Drosophila melanogaster: one gene and its partner. The protein of the gene in region 2 purifies or fractionates together with the protein of the main gene of each other region. This does not show direct contact. Each region holds a gene or a part of one and is shown on either strand. Other genes may lie near its edges.

Region 1 (3,811 bases), on a different chromosome or scaffold from region 2:
GTCAGTGTATGTAATAGTTTCAAAATTAATTAAAGTTCATTTTTGTGTTCGGAATTTAAAAGTTAACTTAAGAAAGTATTTCATATTTTATTTTAGTATTTAAGCATAATAATCTAACCATTGGATTTAAGAACTTCAAAGGAAATTACGAAAATTGTCTATGTATGAATACAAACTATGCTGAAACTATTTATGTGGATTCCACCTACATCGGTCAACTTTTATTAAAAGTATCTAAAAACAATCATTTAATACACAATTTAAAAGTTTTAGGATGCATAATGCTTAATTAGAACAGGAGATGTAAGAATACTCATAAAATATTTCAAGAAAATTCGTGATACAAATTTTAAATCAAATGAAGAAAAATGTTCCTTAATTTATATGCTATTATAGTTTATATATATTACAAAATTTTAAATGCTTTAAGCTATTGAAGAAATATGAAGAGAACAAATAATTTGTTACTGATCGAGATAATAAAAAGGACCACTATTTTTGAGAACAGTTATAAAATACTTATCATTTTATTCATTTTTAAACAATTTCTAACATTTCGAAACATAATTCAGATATTGAAATGCTTTACTGTGTGTGCCTTCAGAGATTACGACCAGAATAGGTGTTTTAGTACATAAGGAAACAATCCTTCAGTCATGAAAGATGCACTACTAATCATCATTTACAGGTCCTTCAAAGGGAGCCTTGCAACCAGCCTTTTCGTAAAACTCGAATGGCAGCGGATCCTCGTTGTCGTAATAGTCGGAATCGCGGGCGCAACTGGGACCAAGTTCCATTTTCACCATCTTGTCGCGCCAAAAGTCGAGAAGCTCTTTGGTGAGAACCTCATCCCTCAGATTGAAAATCCAACTGTTGTAGTCGTCGGGCCCATAGAAACCAGCATCACCCTTGTACTCCTGCAGCAGCTCGGCGGCCTTGTTTTGATCCTCCGCTGAGGGTGTGCCATCGAAGAGCAGCTTCCAGATTATCTCCCTGGCGGCTGCCGCTATCTTCTTCACGCTGGCCTGGTGAACGCTGTCCGGAACGATGATTTTGGTCAGAACAAAGCGCTTCATTAGAGTTCGGTATTCCTCGAGCGGATTTTCCTTGGTCAGGGTGGCCTCAAATTCGCCAGACAGAGCGGCGGCATCATCGGCACTCAGTTCACCCGGAGTTGTAGGCGTCGCTGGCCCATCCTGATCCAGCGAAGCCTGCTCCTCGAGTGCTGCGCGCACCTTTAAGCTGGCTGCAAATGGAGCGGTACAACCGGCATGGGCATAGAACTCCAATGGCGGGGTGTCGTCGCTGTCAAAGAGATCACTGTCGCGTGACCAACAGGGACCGAGTTGCTTCTTCACCAGCACATCGCGCCAAAAGTCGAGGAGTTCCTTCTTTAGAACCTCATCCCTCAGCTTGACAATCCATTCGTTGTACGGCGTCGGGTCGTAGAAGCAGGCGTCACCACGGTATTCCTCCAGCAATTGGCTGGCCTTCTCTGTGTTCGATTGCGAGGTACCGGCCTCGTCGAATAACAGCCGCCAGATGACGTCACGCGCCGCTGCAGCCGTTCGATCGAAATTCTCCTTGGTGACATCATCATCCACGATTTCGTCTACCTGCACGCGTGTTTCGATAAGCTTTTGGTAATCCTTAACGGGATCCACCAGGCCAATGGTGTAATCGTTCTGTCCAGACAATAGTTGTTATTGTTTGTAAACTATTTTTGTTTATTTTCTATGGCTGTTGCTTATTACCTGTGCTACTTTCTCGGCCGTTGCCATTTTGTCGGATTGTGTGTCCTCGGCCTTGCGCTTGGACATTCCCCTCTGGATAAATTGGCGATTTAAGGTTCTTCGAAGTAAAGCGTTTAAAATCGTTGGGCTATTGATCGTCACTTCTGTCGGAAAGAGATAAGATGACTAATTCAGATCGCCGCTTGCTGTTGCGATACTACGAATGTAAATAGTAGGGTAGTTCTTTTCAATAGAGAATAATTTTAATTGGAATATTCTCGGAAGGACAGACCAAGAATCAAAATAAGACGACTTATTGGATGAATAAGAAAAGAAAGTATGTGACATATTGAAAATATTATATATTTTATGTCGGTTTATAAATAAATATATATGTATATATATTGTACAACTTCCTTTAAAATCACATCTTACATTTAAAATAAAAAAAACTGTTTTTAAAAGACAATTGCAAAATAGGTAATTAAATTATTACAAAAAAGTATCGATTCTGCCCGCAATCGATGTTTATCTAACACTTAATTGCACTCGATACTATCGGCTCTATCGAGTGTTCGAGATTATCGAATATAATCACCATCCGTGTCTACCAACACAAACGAGCGAATTGTTCGCAACGCCTACTTCGATTACAAGTACTTTGCTCTTGGAAATCGGTAGAAAAAATTGTGCAATCCGTGCTGGAAACTACAGATATTATTTTCGCCCGATTAATTCATGTCAAATTGATAGATTCATCTTATACCATTGGTTCCGCCCCGTGCTGACTGTGTTTGTGTGTGTGTGTGCGTGACAGACACAAAGAAATTTGAGGTTAAGCTGCAGATGAATTTTGCGTTAATGTCGCTGAAAAACCAAAGTTTAACAATCCTATTCAATAAAAAACACTTAAGCTAAAGATACAATCAATTTACAGTTGCAATAAGAGCAATAGTTGTGTCGTAAAAGGCAACACACACCAGCCAATTGCATTCGTGGAATTCGTGTCGGTGAGAGTCTCGCGGTGCGTCTGTGTGTGCGTGTGGACGTGAATTCAATTTTCTCGTGCACGAAAAGCAACGAAAAAGCTTCAAAAGTTATACTCAAATGTGTATGGCAATTGTGGTAAGTGCGGCAGGGGATCGGCTACAGCCGCAAGTTTTTAAATAATACATTTTTGTTGCATAAATTGTTTCGAACGTCAACGAACACTCGCACAACTACTGAGCCACAAAGTATGTGTGCTTGTGTGCGTGCGTTGGCATTTACATTCAATTTTTTTCGTTTAAACAATTTCTAACTGGATTTTGTTTGTTTTATTCGAAAAATAGTCTTAAAAAACATGTTGGCATTAGAAATAGTTTCTGGAATTTGTTTAAATTTTTTTTTAGTATATATCAACCAGTTACATTTTTATTTGTCTGTGCAAAAACTATAAACAATTGTCATCTTGTAAAACTAGAATATGTTATAAACTAATTGTGTTTACGTTTTTTATAAATATGAATGTGAACTTTTTAAATGTATTCTTCTCAAAATACCAACAAATCTGTGTAATTGCTATGAATAATATTCTTTTCTTCGCAATCAAATTAATCGAATTGCAAATTCTGCTGTGCTTGCATAAAAAACGTTAAGGAAAGTAATGTAATGTCCCATTTGTTATCATACACAACAATCATATACTTCAATAAATGGGTAACTTCACGCATTTTACTTTCATTCGACCCAGTTACCTGGTTAACTGCCTTCGCCAGTTGAAAATAAATGTCAGCTGACCCAGTTTTACCATCCGAACGGAACTAGGACGGGACCAAAACTATTTTGCACTGCACCAGTTAAAGTTTATTTCTCTTATTTTTTTTGGCAGTTTTTATCATCTTCATACGTCATTTGCTAGGTACATACACGTAGATTCTAATCTAATATCTAATCTGTTGAAGACATTTCGAGCAGATTTATATCATATCAAAGCGGCAGAGCAAACAGTAAACAAAAGACATGGCCGAGAGAAATTGTTTTTTTTAGAACAAAACAGCCAAATCAGTTGGCATTTTATACTGAACAAATGTGGACGG
Region 2 (4,184 bases):
AAAGTGCGATCGGAGACCACGAATCAGACGCTGAACAAGTTCAAGCTGATGCAGCGCGAGAACATCATCTTCTACCACGATTTAACTCTGTTCGAGGATGAGCTGCACGACCACGGAATATCGGTGATGAGCGTGCGAATCGTAAGTGCTGATAAATACAAATTATAGAGCCCTTATCGAAGAAGCCCAACTCTTTCTGGCACAGCGCGTGATGCCCTCTGGCTTCTTCATCCTTTTGCGCCACTTTCTGCGCGTGGACCACGTGCTAATCCGGATGCACGACACCCGCTTCCACCACGAGATCGAGAACGACTTTATCCTGAAAGAGTACATCCATCGGGAGGCGCCTTGCACTGAGCTTCAAAACTGTGTGGCCTTCTGGACCAACCCGGATGAAATGCAAGAATTTGTGCCCGTGAAGTCCAAGCAGTTGCACAAGCTCTTCTTTAAGTAGTCCCGATGTCCGATGCTAGATGCCAGATCCCAGATCTCTAGGTTTATGTCAGTCGTCGCATTGGTTACAACTGCTGCTATATGCGTTTATTTATTGCCAACAGTGTGCGCATGCGCAGACGACATTAAAAGCGATTTTCCTAAAAGGCACACTACGATCAAAGCTATTAACACGAATAAAATATTGGGCGGACCAGCTGCCACATCCTCGGGCCTAGGCGGATCCAAGTAGGGCTGTCAGGGCCCGCTTGTAGTCACCAGAGGTCTCCGCCTGGAAAGTAAAGAAAGGAACGTATTGAAGCGAGATCCAAGTTCTTGCTTTTTTGGCTATGCCCTCTACACTACAATTACTACTTTGCCCGAAAATACTTTTTTGGCAAGCCAATAATGAGATATCGAAAAATGCCCAAGAACCAGTTTGCTTCGGCGTTCTTAGAAATAATTTGATGGGGATTTTGGCAGCATATGTAGCGTAAAAGGAACACTTGATAACGTGGAGTAACCAAGACCAGGAATACATCCGTTTCACCAATGGCGTGGCCAATACTTACGTCCTAGGACAACACAAACACCGCAACAAATGCCGACAAGTACGTGAAGAGAAGGGGAAAGGGGTGCGTTAACCATGTGCGAAGCACTCGCGATTCTTCGAGATCCACTTACCACCACGGCGCTGTGCAGCGTACGGTTGTAGATCCGCTCGAACTCCTGCTTAATGGTCTCCAGGTCGATCTCCGAGCGGCTGACGATGATGCGGATGAGCGTGGCGTCATCGGTGCCGGCGCCATTCATGGCCTTGTACAGGCGGTTGGCGAAGAAGGCCGCCGGTGACTGGACGCACTCAACTAAAAGGTTAAGAAGTGTGTCATTTAACCAAGTGTCTGTTACAACAATTACTTATAACGGAACAGTTAAATATATACTGACCTATGGCCATCATGGCCTCGTGCAGCTCGTCGGACATCTCGTGCTTGATGGCCTGCTCGATGGTCTGCCCGGAGAGCACCTTGTACTCCTCGAAGACGAGTCGCAGCTGCGGGAAGCTGGCGTGCGACATGATCCGGTTGAAGACCTCCTCGTCCGTTCCCAGCTTGGCCTCGCCGGCCGAGTAGAGCTGGGCGGCCTGCTCCTTGGCCTGACCGACGTCGACGGGCGTGTCCAGTCCGTCACGTACTCCGGTCACGATCAGCGTGAGCAGGCGGCGGAAAAAGCCGGAGGTCTCGCTGCACATCTGCTCGGCCAGCGGGCGCTGGTAGCGCTCCTCGTAGACGGCCACGATCTGGGCCATCTCCTCGTTGGTCTTGGTGCACAGGATCTCGACGAGCGTGGCCTCCTCGGTTCCGATGCCCGCCATGGCGGCGTGCAGTTGCTTGCACAGGTACTCCACTGGTGGCATCATTAGACCCACGATCACGTCCTCGAACTTGCCTCCCAGCTCGTCCTTAAGATCGTCCACCAGGTCGCGCTCGAACTCCGCTTCGTAAACCGCCTTGATCGTCTGCCTCTGCTGGTTGCTCCTGCCGACGAGCACGTCGATGATTTCCTGCTCGTCGGTGCCGAATCCCTTCATCGCCGCCCGCAGCACCTGGGCGTCCTGGGAGGCGTCGAAGGGAGCTGCGTCCTTAACCGTGGGCACGGGCTGCACAGTAAAAATTTAGTTGTATATTAAATATAATTTTAGCAAAAAAAAAAAAGCCTAATAGTTTAGCAGCCTAACAAATATTATGGTCATATTCAAATCATTCATTTACACATATAACATTTCAAATATCAGAAAGTAGCTGCATACAATGAGGATTGAACTTCCTATGGTAACTCTCTGTTTTCGATAGAAACTAATATTTTGGAAAGTTAATACATTCAAACTCAAATCATTAAGCCATATGCATTTTTCTTCCCGTGTAGCGAGTGACGCATCGCCGTGGCGAATCAATAACAGGCATTAGTGCAATAATGGAATCATCTCTAGCCTGGCAATCCAATCCACTCACTTTGTATTCCATTATGCAGCTGGAAGATTCCTTGGGTTCCTTGTGGCTCTTCAGTAGACGACTTCACACGAATCAGTCTTTCTCCTGGGACTTTTTTGCGAATTCTTCTTGCGACGTCTTGTCGCCTCTGCCTGCTTTTGCTAAATAATTCGGATTGGGAGGCACTGCACCGAGGTCTCTTTTCAGTGCTCTCCGGTTTGCGCTCGGTGCAGAGCACAAGTTTTACACACGAAGAAAAATGAGACTTGTTTTTGGATGGCAGAATCTGAAGGCAGCACTCGGCTACGTAAATTAAATACACATATTGTATTGCTTTTGGCTCAAAATCGATCGGTTTTTATCTAATTTCTTTTGTTTTAACATAGAAGGAATATTTTTGAATTCTTTTCGAATTTGAAATCGAAAGTTTTTTTTTAATTTTAAAGCATTTGTTATCTGTTTTAGATAATGGATGCGATGTATTGCAACATAGGTACCTGCCATTTCCCCGTTTGAAGCCAATCTTGTTTCTCTCAGTGTATAAGCTTACGCGAGCGCGAGAGAGAGCTTTTAATTCCGCTTCAATTGGGGTTGCACTTGAATTCCAAATCAACTGATTCATTCGGCACATTTCTTGAATTAATTAATTAAAACCTGGCGATGAGATCGTAAAAGCTTAAAATGTGCACAAGCATCTAGGTTTTAATGGAATTTTTAATGCGCTTTATGCCGAAAGAGTCGAAAATGGATTCAAGTGTCTTGGAAAAAGTCGCTTCAAATGTTTTCAGATCTTAAAAAACAAAATATCGAATAAAATCATTTCTGAGGGTATACACTTTATATCCGAGCCAAATAATAGACATCTTTTTCTCGTAGGATATCTTGTATAGATATTATGTTTATTTAATCTTGTTAAATAGGCTTCGCTATAATACATTTACATTTGGGCTCTACTAAAACAAACAATGGATTACCAATCAAATATGCGGGTAGTTCTATTCTTATGTATATATATATGTACATATGTATGTATGTTTGTCTATATTCTGTCAAGTAGAGAATGTTGCAGTTTCCCCTGATTTCTTGGCGACTTTTAAGTGATTCTGAGCACTTGGACTGCAATTGAGTTTTGAGTTCTGGGTTCTATACAGTAGCGGGATCCCAAAAATACAACTTAAATTTTGTTCTAGGACGATCCTGTAAGCTTAGCAAAAGTGGTATCGACTATTAACTATATCGTCCTAGATCTCGTCACCCTGGTTCATCTTGATCTCGCTAAGATGGGTGTTGAACCGCGACCATTCGTCGCGCGATGGCTGCGCCAGGTTCTCGGCCACGTCGTACACGTACAGCTTGCCGGCCTCGTCGCCGATGCACAGGCCGGATGGAGTCCAGGAGTCGCGGCGAAGGGCTGGTGCTCCGTGTCTGGGTTGAGTTTTATCAGGTCCAGGCGGCCGCTGCCGTCGCACGGGCGACCAGGCGATGTACTGCTCAAAGGAGTACAGCGGCTTGGTGTCCTGAAAGAGTGGGCATATTTGAATTAATTCCGGAGACGACAGAAAACTGGCAACTTGATATGGGTACCTTTAGCGACCAGAGCTTGATGGTCCAGTCAATGGACGAGGTTAGGAAGAGGTGGCCAAAGTCCGGCGACAGCTGGTTGTAGTGCGTGGATATGCCAGTGATAGGGCCAAGATGGCGTTCGTAAACCTCGTTGACCCCGGAGCGCAGGCCGTGGCGCGAGGCGGAGTAGACGTAGCC

What was found.
Region 1: the proteins of AnxB10 (region 2) and EndoGI purify together in Drosophila melanogaster (affinity purification with mass spectrometry, with the first as the bait; one large-scale study listed by BioGRID). This does not show direct contact.

What each region holds. Positions count from the first base shown.
Region 1 is NT_033779.5:16,256,123-16,259,933, reverse strand, and holds EndoGI (endonuclease G inhibitor), read right to left. Parts: upstream 2,247-3,811; 5' UTR 2,169-2,246; intron 1,930-2,168; exon of another isoform or gene 1,898-1,929; 5' UTR 1,821-1,897; coding exon 1,755-1,820; intron 1,686-1,754; coding exon 672-1,685; 3' UTR 501-671; downstream 1-500.
Region 2 is NC_004354.4:20,170,925-20,175,108, forward strand, and holds AnxB10 (annexin B10), read right to left. Parts: upstream 2,591-4,184; 5' UTR 2,457-2,590; coding exon 2,445-2,456; intron 2,093-2,444; coding exon 1,381-2,092; intron 1,299-1,380; coding exon 1,117-1,298; intron 1,008-1,116; coding exon 1,005-1,007; intron 725-1,004; coding exon 668-724; 3' UTR 521-667; downstream 1-520. Other genes in the region: CG9578 (uncharacterized protein), read left to right, coding at 1-141, 206-454; Sdic1 (Sperm-specific dynein intermediate chain 1), read right to left, coding at 3,665-3,940, 4,008-4,184.